2 linked regions of the Nothobranchius furzeri genome follow. The protein of the gene in region 1 interacts with the protein of each later gene in a biochemical or structural test. Links are inferred from orthologs where the notes say so. Each region holds a gene or a part of one and is shown on either strand. Other genes may lie near its edges.

Region 1 (10,126 bases):
TGACAGGACTAATAATGATAATAACAAAAATAACAGCTGAACTGAAAATGTTACCTTGTCATACGGCAGCATTCCTCTCAGGTGGAAGCGGAGCGTCGTGGGGTCCAACTTCCAGGAGTTACAGATGGCGCCGCTGTTATTCACCACAGGTAACAGGCTGCAGCGACCTGTAGGACACAGACATCCGCACAGGACTGAATCAAATAGGAGGAATTTTAGAAATGGCAAATTAAACTTGTAATTGTTTTATTATAAGGGTCTAATGGGAAAAATATAATCAGACTGAGGCCTGATTCTCATAGGGAGCTTAAGCCACGCCTATCTACTGCTGGACCATCGGTCCCCGGAGGAACGAAACAATGAATGCGAGTCAACGGGGCTAAAAACGCTCTTTTCCGATCCCGCTTGTTATGTGCCATGGATGGTAAATGGTAAATGGCCTGTATTTGATATAGCGCCTTCTAGAGTCCTGGAACCCCCCAAGGCGCTTTACAACACAACCAGTCATTCACCCATTCACACACACATTCACACACTGGTGGGGATGAGCTACGATGTAGCCACAGCTGCCCTGGGGCGCACTGACAGAGTCGAGGCTGCCGAGCACTGGCGCCACCGGTCCCTCAGACCACCACCAGCAGGCAACGTGGGTTAAGCGTCTTGCCCAAGGACACAACATCAGCGACAGACTGAGCGGGGCTCGAACCTGCAACCTTCCGGTTACGGGGCGAGCTCTCAACTCCTGTGCCACCGTCGCCTAGAAGTGTTTTGATACCAAGAAAGTGCTTATTTTTGAACGAGGGTAAATGCTATTTTAGGTTTTGTGTGAAAATAAGTCCAGGACTACCAACGTGCATCACCGTCATCGAACCAGACACGGAGACAAACGGGGACGACGGATGTAAATTCAGCGAACTTCAAATCCGTCCTTCAGGAGGAAAGAACCACCATAAATCTGGCCATGTGTCGAGTAGCAGCTACGCTAGGGGAGAGGAGATTCTGTGGTGACGTCATTATTGCGACGTATCGATATCTGATTTGTAGTCACGCTAATTATGAACATTTACAAGCTGATAATTCTCAGAATACATGGCAGGCGTGGTCGAAGCACACATCATCACTTCTAATTGAAGCACATCATATGTGCGATCCAGGAGTTGAGCAGATTAGATAATAGGTCTTTTAGCCCTGCAGCTCTCGTTAACTTGAAGTCCTTTTTCTGACCCATCACCCAACCAGAAAGGGAGGAGACTTAAGCTCACTATAAGTAGGGATGCACCGATACGATACTGGGATACCACTACCAGTATCGGTATCGGTAAAAGTTAACCGATACCAATGCAGTTGCTTGAAAATGGCTTCACTGTAACTTGTCATTTCTGTTCACCTAATATTTTAGTTTTATGATGATTTCCATTCATATATTTTACTTTTCATCTACCTCACAGTCTTTTCCTGGTGAAAGAAGAGAAGAAAATAAAATCTGTTTTCCAATCCATTGCATTTTTTTGTGTGGTAGAAGTATCGGTATTGGTAATCGTATCGGTGAGTACTCAGATATCGTATCGGTTTGGAAAAAAGTGGTATTGTTGCATCCCTAACTATAGGAGAAAACATTCCACTATTAAATAATCTCATTTAATTCTAATTAGACATCATCTTAAAAATATAATGATACAAATCTAAAAGTATACGTATATATTTCATCAATAAATGAACAAAATTTAGACATTTTCTCATCCAGACATCAGAGAGGATACTTTGCTTAAATTGAAGACAAAGCAAACTACATATTTTCTAAACTGGGGAAATAAATGGATATGAATGCATATTTCTGTTCACTTAATCAGGCCTTTTAAGGTATTTCTGATCTTGGTTTGTGTAAAAACAGACATGCTAAATAATTTTTTTAAGTTGCATTTAGCATCAATATCGGTATCGGCTGATGTTAATCATTCTTTAAAATATCGGTCCAATAAATAAAATCAGGCCGATATTAACAACCGATATTTTTTCCATCTTGTCTCCATTTGTTTGCCTGTTTCAGAGGTTGAGAAGGTGATGTGTATTTCTTTAGTCATGTGACAGTGATTGTAATCATCTCTGAAGTGTATGTGTGTGTGGTGTGTGCACATTTTAATGTAAATTCAGCTTTAATAATGTTCATTTTACACAAAATCTGCTGATTTTAGAATCATTAATGTCAGTATATCGGTATCGGCAAATATCGGTTATCGGTCAAAACAGTGATCTTAATATCGGATATTGGTCTAAAAATTTCATGTTGGTGCATCACTTATTTAAACACAATTCACTGGTCACCTTAGCCTGAATGAGGCCAAATAAAAGAATTAAATAATGAATTCAACAAACAAACCACAACAGGAATATATTTGAAATGAAAAAAAAAAACCTAAATGCATGACATAACAACAATAATCATGTTTACTGAAACTTACAAGATCAATTTTCATGCACATAAAAACGCATTTAAGCTCTGAATCAGCACCTTCCTATGGGGGTTGAACAAGTGAGAATGTGTTTGTTTTGTTTTACAATGTAAACACTGTCAAACTGACGCTTTTCTTATCTTGATTAATGGATTTATTTTTGTACTTTACTTCCCTCAGCTTGTTAAATAACACGACCTCCCCGCCTCGTTCTCAGACGAGCACTAGAGGAGGGGATGAGTTCACACGGCTCTCGTTGAGGCAAAAATAAAGAGAAAATGACATAAACACAAAAAGCCAATAGGATAAAAAAGGTTGAAGGTTATTCACCAAGTGATTTATTATAAATAATAATTTAACATGTGTAAAATATATTAATGTTTATGGCACCACAGAAATGGAGAATTTAGTATTTTGTATTTGACAAATGTAAATAACGTGCATTCTAGTTTATTTACCAGTAATTCTACATCTTTAAAAATCCTGTTGGCTTTAGTGTCGAGGCGGAATGAGTCAAAACTCTTTGGAAATGGAAAACAAGCTAATGAAAGCAACACAGATAACTAAAAAGTGTTTGAAACAACAACAGTCCCCATTTAGGAGATTGTTTGATATTTTATACTTCCCTGTCGTCTTTTGCCGTTGTTCCTCTTATTGAATTTCTTTTATTTCTCATATTTTTTACACGTGTTTGTTTGAAGGCCGTTTACGATTACATTTATTCACGTAGATGGATTTTTTATTGCAAAACTAATAAATGATATGAACGTTGGGTGTGTGTCTTACCACAGATGGAGTTAATTCTTGCAGTAGGTCTAAAACTGTCCACGAAGTCTGAGATCAAACTGCCTAAAAGCTACAGAAACATACTGACTATTAAGATATGATTTTAAAAATGCAATGAGAGGAAAATAAAATAAAGAGATCTACTCACCCAGTGTGAGAGTTGTCCCTCTGGATAAAGTTTTCTGATTTCTGTAACAGCGAAATATGCAGGCAAGAGGCAGGCGTTTCTGTCAAGGATATATTCAACCACCTGGAATATGAAACAAATGTAAACATGTTAATAAAACTGGCATTTTTAGTCATATTTACACAAAATGTCTTTTAACTCATTCACTGCCAATTTGCATTTTTTTTTACTGTTTGAGCATCGGAACGAGCCCCCGCGCTGAGAGAACAAACATCTCAGCCCTGAAGCCGATCTTCATCCACATACGTCACAGATCACATGATCAGGAAGCAACACATCCATGTGTTAGGAGATTGTTTTGGGGCGTTCCTGTAAAAAAAAGTGAGGCGCGAACCGGAAAAGCGTCTGCCGATCACAATTCGACAACGGATTATGAAAGAACGGATGACGCTCTAAACACACGGATTCTTCCTGATGTAAGAGGTGAGTCTCCTCTTTGTTTAGGTTGTTTTGGCATCGACATCATGCTAGCGTGAAACGTTCTGTGACTGTTAAAAAACAGTAAAAACGGCGAGAAACGCTGGCAGCGAAGGCCGTTAGCGATCAGGAAACGGCTGGCAGTGAATGAGTTAAACATAACTACTGAAGATGTAAACAGAAAGGAGGGCACCTCTCTAGCAGCAAGAAGCTGCTGGACTATGGCAGAACTGACAGTCGTAGGGATGGATTGTATTTTATCCAGTACAGCTTTCAGCAGATCACGAACCCCCTAAAACACAGATCAAAGCAAAGGTGTCGATTTAGAATTTTTATTTACTGATATTGTCCTTCATAAACTTCAAAAATTAGTATTCAAACCTCTTTTAAAGTACGAAAACCTTCAGCAGAGTTACAAGGCACATCTGCTACTGACCACAACAAATAAACAAGAACAACATTTTCCTGCACAGCATATTCATTAAGAAGGCATTTTTTTTAAACTGCATCTGGCGTTGAGTGTCAGAAACCTTGTAGTCCACGCCACCGATTATCTTGTGGATCAGTTTGAAAGTTAAGGCCCACAGCTGCGTCTTTTCCCACTGAAAACTCTTCGAGGTTATCAAAGCAACACACACCATCCTAAAAACAAAACAGCCTCTCTTAGATGCATGTTTAATACATTTAAAATACACTGATGTGCATGTGCTTAATCAGCTTTAACAACAGTAACATGAAAGTCACCAAATACGAAATAACATAAAAAAAATCTAATTTAGTTTACTGTATTCCTCAGGAAAAAGAACAGACAGTAATTCTGCAGTCACATCAAAAATATCACTGGAGTAATTATGACGTATTTTCGTCTAAATGAAGGCATAAGATGCAATGTGCCCTGGATGAGTGTGAGTATGAACCTTGGTGGCAACAAACTGGTCTCCACTGCCATCGCTAAACAGTCGTACAGGAATGAGATTCTTTTGGGACTGTGCTGACTGTGTATGAAATGCACAATCCATTGCACACACTTCTCATGGGAGTCCTGGTGGAATGACAGAAGTGAAATAAATTTTAATTATTTATTTTTACAAAAACGACAGATTAATTATCAGTACAAATGTAGAACCTGCGGCAGGGTTCCCATGTATTGTCTAAATGCTCCAAGACAGCTGATCAGTTTAGTCCTCTCATCCTCTGGAGTGTCCATGAACATCCTAAAAACAGCATTTATGTTTACTACCCCATTTTAACGGCAAATAAAAGCACAAAAAAACTCTAAGCCGAGCCCTCTTGTCCAGTTTTTATATAATTAATAAGTGTGAAAATGAATTTTGAGCCACCTCACCCTGCAAAAGCCTCCTCTATCAGCTCAGTTTTCTGTAAACAGAGGAAAATATGATTGCTGATTTACTAACACCAACAAAGTTAGAAAAACACATAAATGTCCAATTTAGACAATTAAAATAAAACTAAAACAGTTTTACATTCACATATATTTCCCCATTAATCTTCTGAATTACTGCATTTATGATTTAGATCAATAATTTGAAAGTGTATGCTAAATTCAGTAAGTGTCAGTGAATAGGCTAACACTCTTTGAGATGCTAATAAACGTTAGCTAAATTGTTAACCGGTTTAAGAAATTGCAACTTACCACAACGTCTTCAAAGATGCTCTGCAGCTGCGTCTCCATGGAAAGCGCCATCTCTGCGATATGAAACGTGTATTTTTATCCAAACATCACAGGGAACCTAACACAGAGCTGCCAGCAAGCTAGATGCTAACAGCAACAAATTCCGCCATGAGACATGAGACACGCGACCGACCACGAAAACGTTCCGGGTATGCATCGAAGCACGAGACAAAGATTCCGCCTCACTTAGTCTTTTGGCTCTTATGAATCGTCATAAAAGTCTATTAATTAAATTATTATTGTTAAATTATTATAGTCTATTTCTCTTTAAGTTTTATTAATGAGTGAAACACAAACTTTCAACTGAAGAGATGTAAATATTGGTGACTAGATGTATGTGTCAAGATGTGTTTCTGTTTTCTTTGTCACTTTACGTCTTTCAGACAGATAAGATATTCTAGATCTGAGTGAATAAACTTTGATGTTCTTCCAGGTCTAATATAAATCTTTTGGACACAGCAAAGATGGTTTTATCATCTCTTTAGCTAGTTAATAATTATCCCATTGTACAATTGCATCATGATACACAGTAAGTCACTGAGGAAATAAAAGAAGGGGAAACTAAACAAAAATACAGAAAAGGGAGAGGCACAATGTGAAAACCGTCAAATCACTGCTTTTGCAATCAAGTAAATGTCACAAAAACTGTTTGAAAATGTGAAAATATAAATTCATATTATTAACCATTATAAAAAAGAACATGAAAAACTTAAAGGCAGACGCTAGAGGCGCGTGAAGAACCATTCCACATAACTACCTGCTCAGGTGTATGTGCTCCGACCAGTGAGATCACATTCCTTCCTAAACACGGAAACCAGGCATCATTTTTGTGGCTTTACAGGTTTAATCGTGGCAGTCCGCGTTCCCTCCAACTTAAGACACTTTTATCTTCTTGTGTTTTTAATCTGATTGCGTTTAAACCCGAGGAGAAACAGGAGAGGATCAACGGGTGAGAAACCGCAGATTTCTCATTAAAATGGTCGATCCACACCGACATGTGGACTGAGATCGTCTTGATCGGATTTGTGGTTCTGCGGACCGCAGGTGAGACTGTTAAACTATTAACGCGAGAAAAAAAGGTTTTATGAAAAAAATAATAATCTTGCCTTGCTTTGTTGTTGCTAAACATGCGAGAAGTGTGTTTCATTTAAAGTAGGCTACAATCCAGTCAGTAAAACATCAAATTAATGAACAAAACAGAAAACTTCATGTTTACGCAAATTACCACAGAACTCTGAGATCACAAGGAATTTTAATTAGTCATTCAAAACGCTAGAAAACACCAGAAAGAGGTCGAATATATTACTAAAATGAAATTTATTTAATGCAGCAATTTTCTCTCCGATTCTGTCTCTTTGGTAAATGGTACATGGATTTGTAGCACCTTCTTAGGGTTTAACAACCCCCCAAGGCGCTTCACAATCATCAGTCATCCCCCCCACACACACACACATGGACGTAATTTTCACTTTAGAAGTGGGGGGGACACAAGGGGGGGGGGGTCTTTACAGTATGTTCTAATGGGAAACAGGCTTCAACACAAACGGTTGTTTTCTGCCTGGTCCTAGACCTCAACGAGTGTCAATTTAATATAGCGTAATATTGTTTTTGGATGGTAAAAAGTGCAGGGGTCCAAACTTGACTTTGGAAAAAATGGGGGGGACATGTCCCCCCGCCCCCCCCAAAAATTACGTCCATGCACACACACACACACACCCTGGAGCGCACGGACTGAGGCGAGGTCTGCCCATCTGCCATACAGTGGCGCCACCGGTCCCTCCGACCACCACAGCCGGAAAGACCGGTAGTGTCTTGCCTAAGGACACAAGAGCAGCATTCTCTGGCAACAGCACCTGACCCTTCTCTTCTCTGGTGGGAGCCGGAATCAAACCTGCAACCATCCGATTACTGGGCAACCCACCTAACCTCCTGAGCTATAGTTTATGAACTCGAGAGAATGCTCGAATGCATTGCAACCCAAAAAATAAATTATATATATATATATATTTATATATATTTATATATTTGCACATATATATATATTTGCACAAAGTTTCCAAACATTTCAATTAATTTAGTATAAAATTTCAAGTGAGTAGTTTTGAGTTTTAAGTTGTTTCATGTGACCCAGTCTGGTTTCATGATAATAATGGGTGCTTAGCTGTCAGCCAGTATAGGTTTACACCGTAGTTCCTGTAATGCACGTTTCATAAAGATCGTGTTGTTTCCTTTCAAGTAAACAGAGATGCAATTACTCCACTCCATTCAAGTACATTTTATTGTGATTGGGGCAGCAGTAGCTTAGGAGGAATCGGAAGGTTGTAAGCAAGGCAGCTTCATTTATGTAGCACATTTCAAACATGGGGCAATTCAGTGCGCTTTACAATTAGCATGAAACAGCACAACAAAAACAAACATGAGAACACAAATTAAGGTATACACAAATAAAATTATGATTTAGAGCTAAAGGGAAAAGACAGAATTAAGGTTGAGCAATTACACCAGGTTCAGTCCCACTGAAGGATTCTGCTGTTCTGTCCTTGGGCAAGAAACTTAACCCACCTTGCCTGGTGCTGGTCAGAGGGACTGATGGTGCCGGTGTATAGCAGGCATCGCCTCTGTCAGTGCGCTCCCAGGGCAGCTGTGGCTACATGGTAGCTCACCAGTGTGTGAATAGGTGAATGACTGATCATATTGTAAAGCGCCTTGGAGGATTCCAGGACTCTGTAAGGCGCTACATCAAGTACAGGCCATTTACCATGTGTTGTGACGTGCCTTGGGGGGTTGTAAAGCCCTACAAGGTGCTACACAAATACAGGCCATTTACCATTACCAGGAAAATCTCACAAATATGCATGAAGGAAATTGTTAGCGGTTTGGCTCCTAAAACACTGAATCTGATCTAAACACAAAGAAAGCCTTCACTTAAAGCAGTGTTTATGTTTCTAAATGTCCACTCTTTCATTCCTTTCTTTGCTTCAGCCTCAGCCCGTCTGCCCATCCCCACTGGTGTTCACTTCTCCTCTGTGAATCTAAGGACCGTGCTGCACTGGTCTCCAGGGCATGGTTCACCAGAAGACACACGCTTTACAGTGGAATATGCCATGTGAGTCTATTTGATGCTAATGACGAATGTGTACTTAAGCTACCCTGACAAGTAACTTGGTCATGAAATGATGGTCATTTTCAGCCCGAGTGGATCTGCTCTGTGTTTTGCAGCTATGGTGAAACCACCAACAAAAGAAAAGGAATACTCTGGAGACCAGTGAGGCAGTGCATGGATATAGGCGGGACTTGGTGTGATCTGAGCGCTCAGATGCAGGATCTGGAACAGGCATATTATGCCAGAGTTCGTGCCTTGCGAAGAAAATCATCTTCAAAGTGGGCTGAGACGCAGAGATACGATCTAAAGACAGAAAGTAAGAATAAATAAGTAGGCGGAGCCTTTATCTTCACTTATAGAATATTTTGTTTGGGGAAGATTTGATTTGGAGTGTTTTAGTAAAAAAAAAAAGTGCTAAAACAATGTACCTTGTCTGTCCACGTAGCTGTTTTTGGCCCCCCGTCAGTTACCGTGGAAATAGAGAACAACAGTGCAACCGTCACTTTGGTGGGACCCATGAGGTATTCACCAACCAACCACTCACTAGCCGTCTCCATGAACTCAATCTACCCTCACACATCTTATAACCTCTTCATCCACAACACCTACCTCGACAAGATGGTGAGTAAAGTTCATTGGTTATGTTTGCTGAACACTTGAAGCACAAACCACATACATACGATGTATGTACTATGTACTTTCACAGCATCATATCCCAGTCTCCGCCAGCCCGTACAAATATCAGCTGATGGCGTACAATACAAAATACTGCTTCTCTGCCAAGTCGAGGTTCGTCTCCATAGAAATGCGAAGCGAGTCTTCACCTTGGCACTGCCTCACTACGCCTAAAGGTACAACCGTGTGACTTCCTGTTAATGAGAATGTTTTGTTTTGAGGATGGTAGAAAGAAATGTGACCGAACAGCGAACAAAAACCAAAGAGAAGCAAATGCTAGACTTGTTTATCCACAAGTCGCATCTAGATTGGTAGAATTTTTTTACCTAACGATTATGCCTTTGTTGTATGTAATGATCACATATAAGATTTTTGTTCAAATTTAAGTAAAAGCGTTCACACGGGTATTGTAAGAGCTTGAGTGATTTGTCTGTGATCGTGAAAGGGCCTTTCCTATTCATACCAATGGTTTTGCGACAGGTTGACTGGGTAGCCTTTGAACGGTAATGTAAAAGTTTTATGCAAAGATGTTACACAACGTGTAGTTCTCTGGATGGCTGTCAGCAAGTATGACTCCAAAGTTTAGCTCAGTATCTGTAAAGTTGGCCTAGTTCCAGCCAGGTTGGTGCTTGAGTCGGCTGGATGCAGCAGCCATTTTGGACTACATATTTTCACAGAAAAAACAAACAGAAATGCAAGCTAAAGGTGATTGTCCACTTTTGTTCCTGTTTGCAACAGCAATAAATATCGAATGTTGAATAGAGCCCAAGTCTCCTCCCCTTCCGTTTGGCCCATGTCTCTGTATCACAGGCTGA
Region 2 (10,309 bases), on another chromosome or scaffold:
TCCTGTAGATGGCTCATTCCTTATGTCGTCCGTGTCTGTTCTGCATCCTGGGGCACAACAGGAATCTACCATATTTCCCGTTTGATTGAGTTTTCCGACAATAACAAATAGTCCAGCTGCCGGCTTCTGCATGCCAATATGGCGCCGTTTCGATTTGAACTGTTGCATGCCGGGAGAAGTGACGTCAACTCCCGGAGCTCTATAGGGAACTTTTTACTGACTGGCTTAATGAACTGGCCTGTATTGGAATGTTTATTATGTGAAGCGCCTTGAGTCGACGCTTGTCGTGATTTCACGCTTTATAAATAAATTTGAATTGACTGGGGGAGGCCCACCCAGCAGGTGAGCATGGACCAAAGCCCTTCAGGAAATGCTGATGCAGTGGGATTGACCCACTAACGAACAGCCATAGAGGGTGAAACCTTCACCAAATACAAGTAGAGAATTTCATAAACTACATTTGACGTGTTTTGGTGCGTCATGTTGGGTAAAAAAGCAACAAACTAAAGATGGAGCTTTTCATGCTTTATTAAAATAAAGTATCATAACACAGTTGTGAACTATTCTTTAAAAAATGATTTAAAATCAGTTTTACTTCATCATGGGTGAATGAGAAGCACATTGAAAAACTTTGACATTCATCAATGCAAATTACATGATACTTTATACTTATTTCCAAAATACACAGATCATACTGAATCATCACCAAAAAAATCTAACACATCGTGGAGGTACACTTTATATAGCAAGTCATACAAATAGTTATGTAGTGTACTGTTAATTTGAAATAAGATCACCTACATTAATTTCCCTCCATTCTGGTGTATTTTTTACATCTTACATTTTGATCCCCAACAGGTTTACAGTTAAGGAAAACCTTAAACCAGTTAAGGGAAAGGAAACAAGACATTTCTAATACACTGATAAAGTAGAAGACTCCCAAATAACCCCAAACAAAACCTAAGAAGAAGAAGAAGACAATCTTTTATACAGCGCCTCTCAAGATAAAAATCATGAGGCGCTTCACAAAAGCAAAAAAATATTAAAGTATAAAATCATTTCTAAAATGATTAGAAATATTTTAAATTAATTTTAAAGGAGAAAAGAAAAACATGGGAAAAAGGGAGAGAGAGTGAATAGGAAAGAGGGAAATCAGTGGATCCTGAGGAAGGTGGAATAGGTAGGGAGAGCAGAACATGGAGAGGGTGATGAAGTAACACCAGAAGCCAGCTTGAACAGGTGAGTTTTCAGCTGCTTTTTAAAGGAGACCACTGAGTCCACTGATCTCAGGCTCAGGGGGAGAGAGTTCCAGAGTCTGGGGGCCACAGCAGCAGATGATCTGTCACCTTTGTGCGCCTCGTGATTTTTATCTTGAGAGGCGCTATAGAAATGATACTTTCTTCTTCTTCTTCTTTGGTCTTTAGCCTGGGTTAGGGTTCCCAGTCACCCAGGTTTTAGTAGAGTCTAAGCAGGTGTGTAACAGCTGCAGCTTAGACATCTCATGGGGCTTAAAGGAGATGTACAGTTGGATGTCATCTGCATAAAGATGGTAGGAGATTCATTTGAAGGAGCTCAGGATGTGCTGAAGAGGAAGCAGATAGAGGAGGAAGAGCAGAGGCCCCAACACAGAACCTTGTGGGACACCATGGGTAAGGGAGGTGGTGGAGGACCTAAACTTGGAGACGGCCACAGATAAGGAGCGCTCAGAGAGATAAGAGGAGAACCACTCCAGAGCAGATCCTGATAGGCCTACCCAGTCTCTCAGCCTCTCCAGTAGCAGGTGATGGTCAACAGTGTCAAAGGCTGCAGTCAGGTCCAGCAGGACCAGAACAGAACAGTCCCCTGCATCACTGTGGGTCAGAAGGTCACTAGAGACCCTAAGAAGAGCTGTTTCAGTAGAATGAGCTCTACGAAAACCTGACTGGAAGCTATCATAGATGTTATGTTCATCAAGAGCAGCTGTGAGTTGTTTAGCCACAACCTTTTCCAAGATCTTGGAGATGAACGGAAGTTTAGAGATGGGTCTGAAGCTGCTATGGAGAGAGGGGTCGAGACTCGGTTTTTTAAGAAGCGGGTGGATTACAGCGTTCTTAAAGTAAGCAGGGACCTGACCAGAGACCAGAGAAGCATTAATTATAGAGAGCACACTGGGACCGATGGACTGAAAAGCACTTTTAAACAAGGATGAGGGTGAGATGTGGAGGGGGCATGCAGAGGTCTTCATAGAGTTAACTAGTTTGGTTAACTCAGGCAAAGAAACAGGTGCAAAGCTATCTAGGATGATGGGCCTGGTTGGAGTCGGGAGAGGCGGCGATAAGGCTGAAGGAGAGATGCTAGATCTAACCTTATTGACTTTGTCCACAAAGAAAGACAGAAAGTTCTCACAGTCTGCAACAGAGTGGATGGAGGCTGTAGGTGCTATCAGCGAGAGGAGCTAGTCCTATATAAAAACCATATGATCATTCTGTACAAATATCAATGTGACACTTTACAGAAACTAAAAAAACATCCATGTAATGATGCTTGTAGTTTTTGCAGTGAAAAAGAAAACAATATAAAATCGTAAATATGGGTTCATAAAACCTACTAGTGCCAAACGCATCGGTTTACATTGTCTGCAACACCTTCCCGCTAAAAGGAAGTTTGTGTTTAAACAAAAAAAAAAAGATTTTTCTGCCAGGCTGGCTCTCTGACCTCTACCCTCTGAAGGACTCACATGCCAATTTCCTCAGTCTTCCAGCCACTGGAATTCTTTCCGAATTTGTATACAAGTCTTCTGCCGTCAACCCGCTCCAGAATCTCCCTCTTGTAGTAATACCTGTAGGTGGAGGAGCATCAGTTCATCACTCAGCGTACACACAAACCTCTTTTTCATTTCCAGCAGACTTTCTGAACAGCAGTCACTACAGTGTTGATAATATTCTGTAATTGTAACTAATCAAATACACTATCTGTGCCTTCATTTGAGGCTCAGGAGGAACTTTGAGTCAGACATCAGGTCTTGTTGCTTCACACCAGAGCTGCCCCTCCCAATAGACCAAATCTGCAAAACAACCAGTCAGACCGTCGCGATTACTGCGGTAGCAGACCCCAGTCAGACAACCGTAGCCACTGTGCGTGAAGCAGGCTTTTGAAGAAAAGCAGCAAGAAGTGGAAGTTGTTTGTTTAGCTAACATTTCTAGCAGGGGCGGCGTTAGGCCCGGCTACTTGGGCTGAAGCCCCGGATGTTTTCTGAAAAGCCCCGGATCTAAATCGCACAAGTAACATGCAGAGTTTTAAATTTCATTTTAATCGTCAAAAACTCCAGCGAACCCCCCCCCCCCCCCCCCGCTTCAGGTGTATGACGTCATCAACGACTAGTCGAAGTCGACTCAATTTTCATTACTTGACTGTCGACTTTAAAAAAAATTAAGTCATGCAACCCCTAGTGTGTGTGTGTGTGTGTGTGTGTGTGTGTGTGTGTGTGTGTGTGTGTGTGTGTGTGTGTGTGTTTTCAAACATTTAGCTTGAGCTCCAATTCAGGTAAAATCTGTAGCAGGTGAAGAAATGGTTTTGCAGGACAAACTCACCTCATGGCGCGGCTGAGCTTCTCGTAGGTCATGCTGCTGTTCTTCTTCTTCTGGCCCCACATTTGCGCCACGGCCTCAGACTTCAGGAACTTAAACACGCCCTCCTGACGATCTTCCCACTTCATTAGGCCCTGGTTCTTATCTGGGTGGATCAGAATGTCCCTGATAAACTCCCACAGGTGAGAGCCACGAGGTGCTGCAGGAGATGAATAACAGCATGTGTGCCACAACGCAAAGCTGAAGCAGAGGTGCAGACGCCTGACTGATGTTTACCGTGTTTACTTTTCTTTGCAGTGTCATACATGCTGCTGATGTGCTCCCTGTTGGCTTTCGGAGGTCGTCCTCGTGGACGCTTCACGCGGGATTCGCTTTCCTCTGTTTTGACGTGAACCTCTGTCAACACAACAGGAACATTTGAGTGAAGAACGGTCCATGCAAAAGAAGTTTCTCTTCTCACTCACTTGACATTCCAGCGTTTGAGAACTCTTGTTCTGATTCGCTGCTGCCAGACTCCGTTGAGCTCATAAAGGTGAACACGCCACCTGAAAATGAGACGTTTCATTTGAAACCAACAACAAGACTCCTGAGGAGGAAAAACATCAAAGACAACCAGATGATGAAATACTAACTGCTGCATTCGCTTTCAGACTGACTGTCAGACAGAGACTCGGGGCTCACAGACTCCGGCGGCAGACTGTAGTCGTTGTGGTATTCAAACTGTCTCCTCACTGCTTCATCAGCTGTGGAAGAAAGGGGTGAACTCTCCATAAGTTTTAACATATTAAATCAAGCACAGCCATTAAACCTTCAGTCTTCCATGCCTGCTCCTATTTTGATGGTGCTGAGCAAAGGGTATGTCAGGTTGTCCAAGAAGGTGTCCAGGAGCTGGCAGGTCTCACTTAGTTCTGGTCCTGACAGGCTCTGCAGCTCTGAGTCAGACAGGACAAACGGATTAGACAGACAGACAGACAGACAGACAGACAGACAGACAGACAGACAGACAGACAGACAGACAGACAGATAGATAGATAGATAGATAGACAGACAGACAGACAGACAGACAGACAGACAGACAGACAGACAGACAGACAGACAGACAGACAGATAGATAGACAGACAGACAGACAGACAGACAGACAGACAGACAGACAGACAGACAGACAGACAGACAGACAGACAGACAGATAGATAGATAGATAGACAGACAGACAGACAGACAGACAGACAGACAGACAGACAGACAGACAGACAGACAGACAGACAGACAGACAGACAGACAGACAGACAGATAGACAGACAGATAGATAGACAGATAGATAGACAGACAGATAGATAGATAGATAGATAGATAGATAGATAGATAGATAGATAGATAGATAGATAGATAGACAGATGATAGATAGATAGATAGATAGATAGATAGATAGATAGATAGATAGATAGATAGATAGATAGATAGATAGATAGATAGATAGATAGATAGATAGATAGATAGATAGATAGATAGATAGACAGACAGATGATAGATAGACAGACAGACAGATAGACAGACAGATGATAGATAGACAGACAGATAGATAGATGGACGGACGGACAGACAGACAGACAGACAGACAGACAGACAGATTACCATATTTAGTCTTGTATTCCTGTAAGCTCTGACTGAGGTGAGGCCCAATCTGTGGGCCGAAGATTGTGATCATTTGTTCCTGATCGAAGCAGCAGAGGGAGGGACCATCGATGGAGCAACAAGCCAGGCTCAGGGTGCTAGCATCAAACTTCATGCTCTCAACAAGGTCACTGATCCATTCTAGGACATGGGTTGGTGTCCAGCAGATTGGGTTGAGGTGCTTGTATGTGTGAGCTGAGGAGACGCAGTAACAACCCAGAACTCGTCACAAGTTCCCCTTTTATCAAGACCATAAAAGGGAACTACCAAACCACGGTTGTTCCCTTTTATGGTCTTGACCATCAAAGAACAATCTTCAATCCCAAACGTCTGTTGTTTCATGTATTCTTTTAATAGCAGAAACATGTTTTTATTCTTAACGTGAGAACCCTCCTCAGCAGAATGTGCTGTGAAGCTAGAAGCTGGTCTGAAGGTTGTAAGTGTGACAAAAACCTTCCTCTGCTTTGATGGTGGTGTTGAGTTAAACATTGACTCTGTGGCGAATCATTAAACTCTCATTGTCTGATTTAGGTCAGTGTGAGTTGGATCAAGATGATCTGTGTGTTGGAAACAGGTGTCCATGTTCACTGTGAGAGTAGAGCTGGTCCACAGCCTCTGCTTTGTGATAAAAGCTCCAGGACCAGAAACCAAACCCTCACTGACGGCAGACTCTCTCACCGTTTGAGTTGTAGCCAAACGCCAGGTTCCGGTTTTGCAGGTTGGTCTGCTGATGGAGGACATCCGGCAAGCCGGACTGATACATGGTGAAATTGGCGTGAGTCAGGATACTGCTGAGGCACGGTGAAGACATCTAGCCACTAATGGACACAAGAGACATCTTGTTTTGAAAATCAGTAGAAACACAAATTAAACTAACACAACCACCACAGATGTACCTATGATAGAAACGGACAAGAATTTACCTAGTTCCAGCACAAACCACGGTAGGATACGGACTGTCTGTCCTCTGTGTCTTAGTCGTCTCCTCTGCTGGTTCACCAGTTCCTGTTTTACACAAATATGCACCTGTTGTTGCATTTATCTGAAGGGGTTGGACTTCAGGGGAATTCCACCTGAACATGACCACACCTCCACCCCTCCTACACTTTCCAGAGAACCTGATAAAAAACAAAACCTGACCTGTTTCTCTCTCTCTGCCTGTTTTCCTCTTAGCCAAACATTTGGCATTATTAAAGATCAGATTATTATTCTTTACACTTACGTTTCAAGATCCGCGCTGCTTGGTGGGATGCCATCTCCACCAGAAATAACTGAAGTAAAAACTGTCCTTACTTCTTAAATCATTTAAGAATCTATTTGAATCCACTGAATATTTCTACACCTTTACCAACGTGGCTGATCTGTAGCTCTTTCGCCTGGCAGGATTTTTATAGAAAAGTGTGTGTGTGTGTGTGTGTGCACGTGCGTGCGTGTGTGTGTGCGCACGTGCGTGCGTGTGTGTGTACGTGCGTGCGTGCATGTGTGTGTGTACACTGATACTCTCACTAACAAGGACGTAGGCTGACATGAATAGTTTGGTTTTCACCGTGTCTAAAAATAGTTGGTATGTGACAACAGCCAACAGGAGATGTAGTTAGACCCGTGAACCACAAAAACAGAGAGATGATGGGATGATTGGTTTTTTTGTGGTTTCTCAAACACACACACACACACACACACACACACACACACACACACACACACACACACACACACACAAAGTAGTGTTTGTATGGTAACATTGTGATTTCTTAGTAAATATTCTGTTTAGTTATTAATTATATTATTTATTTACTATATAAATAGTAAATATTCTACTTGGTGAGAGATAAACTTTATTGTGATTATCCTAGTGGATCTATAATTAAACGGGTAAACTAGTAGTAGCACATCCAACGTCAAAGAGAGTAAAAAGTTATTATCAGGAGAGGGAGAATGTTTAAGTGGTTAGCAGCAGTGTGCTAGACGATGGCCCCCTCCATGAGGCCACCACAGCTCAGCAGAACATCGTTGTAGCTTCTTCTGGGGAGAAAAACACTTAGAGAGAAAATAAAGTTAAAAATGTTACTTACACTTTTACTACGTCTTACGTCTTGTGACATATTTCCTGTTACTTTTGGGCACAGCAGTCTCTACCATAGGCCACACATCGTGAACTGGCACATGCATGCTCCAGTACAAAGAATAGGAGAGCCTTTGGGCGCAGGGGTACAGCACCCATTAAGACGCACGCAGAAGTCAGCAGGGCAGAGTCTAGCTCAGGTCCGGACAGAACCGGAAACTCTCCACAGTTCATCGTCCTGTGCTGTTGTAGAGCAGCTGAGTTCACCTCGTGGAGTTTTGTTCTTATGAAGAACCAGAACATGATGGAATGTGGCATCAGAGACTTCTGAACTGTCCGGCACGTAAAAAAGTGAATGTTTTTACTATAACACAGATTGTTATAACCTTAAACCAGCAAAGGTTTAAGTCTGTTGTCTGATATAAACTTAAGAAATTTGTAAAATATAAGTTTATATCAGACAACAGGCTCAGCTATTTCAACTAGCTTTATAGAATTAACACCTTGTTTTTGTTATTGTTTTATTTACTCATTGATCTAATTTTAAATGCATTTTTTCTTTTATTCATTTATTTATTTACTATTATTATATATTTTTTCTTCTTAGTGAATTTTGATTCTAGTGTTTTTTTATGATATTTGTTTTATGAGGTTGATTATAGGTGTTTCTTGTGTTTTTCTTACATTGTACATGCAACAGTGTATTTTCAATCCTACACTGTATGTGTGTGTGTTTTCTTTTTCTTTTTGTTTCTTTTATCAGGTAAACCAGGAAGTTTTCACTATTGTGAGGACTAATGGGGATCCTTAAATAAACAAATAAACAAAAGGTAAGACTGAGTTAATGCTTTTAACTTCATGAAATTAGCTTTGTTGTTTTTATGTTGAATTTGCACATATTGGTGAATGATGGGCCAGGAAAGGTGGAGCAGAAAGGGAGAGGCTAAAAAAGTAAAGAAGAAAAGCTCTGGCACATTTGCATTCTGGCCTGTATGCGATCTTATTGGGAGAACCAGTGTTTGGACCAGTTGGGCCAGTGCCAGTAAATGTGGTGACAGGTAAATCGTGAAGTTGGAGAGATGGCATACAAACAAAATATAGATCGTGAACAAACACAAGAAATAAAATGTCAAAAGAGAAGTGTACTTCACTTGAAAGTGGGCATAGCACAGCATCTTTATTTATAAAATACTTTAAAATCAATACAAAGCTCGACCAAAGTGCTGACACTAAAATAAACATAAAAGATATCCACTACAATAACCGGTAAAAGAAGTTAAAAAGAGTAAAAACAATAAATACAAGATAAACAGAAATCCATCCCTCCTCTCCAGAACCCCTGAATAGACCTTACCAGGAAGGCTCAGGAGTGTGATCCCCCTGTAGTTGGAACACACCCAGCGGCCCCCTTTTTTAAATAAGGGGACCACCACCCCGGTCTGCCAGTCCAGTGGGACTGCCCCTGATGTCCACACGATATTGCAGAGCCGCGTCAGCCAACACAGCCCCACAACATCCAGAGCCTTAAGGAGCTCCGGCCGGATCTCATCCACCCCCAGGGCCTTGCCACAGAGGAGCTTTATAACCACCTCAGCGACCTCAGCACCAGCGATCTGAGAGCCCAACTCAAAGTCCCCAGACTCGACTTCCTAACCGCAAGTTGCTTGTAGAGTGCTAATGTTTTTAGCAGTTAGCTCAGTGTTGCAACGTGGAACTGCGGAGGATAAGGATTAAACAGTTGGAAGATTTTTTTTTACTTCATACCAAACGAGACCCGGTGTCTGTTGCCTTTAGTTGTGAATCAATAACCGAATTATCATTACTGTCCTGTTTGCCACTTTTGCTACCATACTGGGATTTAGCCTGAAACAATGGTGTTTGTTGTAAATGTTCCATATGCATACGCACGTACAGGGGCGCCGTAAAGCGGTGAAAGATTAGGAAGATTCTAAGGGCCCACAGCTGTCAGGGGCCCAAAACCGTTTCAAAGTTGAATAAAAAAAAATTAGTTTAAAAATCACAAGTACTTTACTTTGCAGTATTTTTCTCATTCAAGACATTAAACAAAAAATCTTTTAGTCTTTATGAAATGCATATTTATTCAGAGGTCCCTACTTTATTTTGACTAATTAATTTGAAACACAAAATAAAATGGTTCAGTCCACCTGGCCGAGGGGCGTGTAGCAGGCGAAGCCAGCTCACGCAGCAGTCAGACAGCAGAGTGCGCCAAGGCTGCAGTAAAACTATGTTTGCAAGAACAAAGTCTGGGTCGAAGAAAGGAGAAAGAGGACAGGCAGACAGTATGTCACACAGTTTTTCTCAAAGAAAGGTGGGTTTGGCTGAATGTATAAATTCAACGTGTTTGCTAGCTTCCACAGTGAGAGGAACTATGTTTCATCTAATTATGGTAAATGGGTTGTTGTCCATGTCCCTACTAGAATCAGCAGCTGGTGATGTGTCAGCAGGTGTCCCCTCACAACCCAATGAACCTCAAGAAGGTGAGCAATGTAGCATGTTAGCTAGCAGCCTCATTTAAGGGGGTCTGTGGGAATCACTTACGGCTCTCTTCTCTATCAGTACTATTACAAAGGAATATAAAAAGGCTATTTTTGGTGATGAACACATTGTTTTTGCACATAATGATAATTATAAATATCAGTCAGTAAAAATGTATAGATTGTTTTGGATGCTGGGCAGGTTGAAGCATTGTTATTTAGTCTGGTAATGTAACATAAATTACTGTGAAGCACCTTTTTGAAGGGACCATACAAGAAAAAAAACCTCTTCATCTACTAAATACCTTGAAATGAAATGGTTTGAATCTGACTGAATTATGGGAGGTTTTACAAGATGTAATTTGTTTTTGTAGCTTTTAGAACACAAACCAAAAATCAGTAATTTCCAAATAATTCATCAGAGAGCAAAACCGAAACAAAAGCTGTTAATAATTGTAATAAGTAAACGTAATATAACATTGAACACAATAAAATATGAAATGTAGTATTGATG

The links.
Region 2: the proteins of med23 (region 1) and elf3 form a complex in vitro, tested with the Homo sapiens proteins (4 studies listed by BioGRID, with this or other methods). The link is inferred for Nothobranchius furzeri from reciprocal best matches to the Homo sapiens genes MED23 and ELF3.

The regions. Positions count from the first base shown.
Region 1 is NC_091742.1:26,114,775-26,124,900, reverse strand, and holds the start of med23 (mediator of RNA polymerase II transcription subunit 23), read right to left. Parts: upstream 6,374-10,126; 5' UTR 6,291-6,373; intron 5,682-6,290; exon of another isoform or gene 5,548-5,681; 5' UTR 5,546-5,547; coding exon 5,495-5,545; intron 5,218-5,494; coding exon 5,186-5,217; intron 5,055-5,185; coding exon 4,967-5,054; intron 4,883-4,966; coding exon 4,758-4,882; intron 4,483-4,757; coding exon 4,371-4,482; intron 4,133-4,370; coding exon 4,034-4,132; intron 3,487-4,033; coding exon 3,385-3,486; intron 3,307-3,384; coding exon 3,237-3,306; intron 168-3,236; coding exon 55-167; intron 1-54. Other genes in the region: il20ra (interleukin-20 receptor subunit alpha), read left to right, coding at 6,529-6,577, 8,516-8,639, 8,753-8,952, 9,082-9,257, 9,343-9,487. UniProt on the Homo sapiens protein: Required for transcriptional activation subsequent to the assembly of the pre-initiation complex. Component of the Mediator complex, a coactivator involved in the regulated transcription of nearly all RNA polymerase II-dependent genes.
Region 2 is NC_091743.1:3,096,352-3,106,660, forward strand, and holds elf3 (ETS-related transcription factor Elf-3), read right to left. Parts: upstream 6,249-10,309; 5' UTR 6,162-6,248; intron 6,057-6,161; 5' UTR 6,050-6,056; coding exon 5,917-6,049; intron 5,434-5,916; coding exon 5,200-5,433; intron 4,499-5,199; coding exon 4,391-4,498; intron 4,310-4,390; coding exon 4,199-4,309; intron 4,112-4,198; coding exon 4,031-4,111; intron 3,963-4,030; coding exon 3,843-3,962; intron 3,766-3,842; coding exon 3,570-3,765; intron 2,819-3,569; coding exon 2,713-2,818; 3' UTR 513-2,712; downstream 1-512. UniProt on the Homo sapiens protein: Transcriptional activator that binds and transactivates ETS sequences containing the consensus nucleotide core sequence GGA[AT]. Acts synergistically with POU2F3 to transactivate the SPRR2A promoter and with RUNX1 to transactivate the ANGPT1 promoter.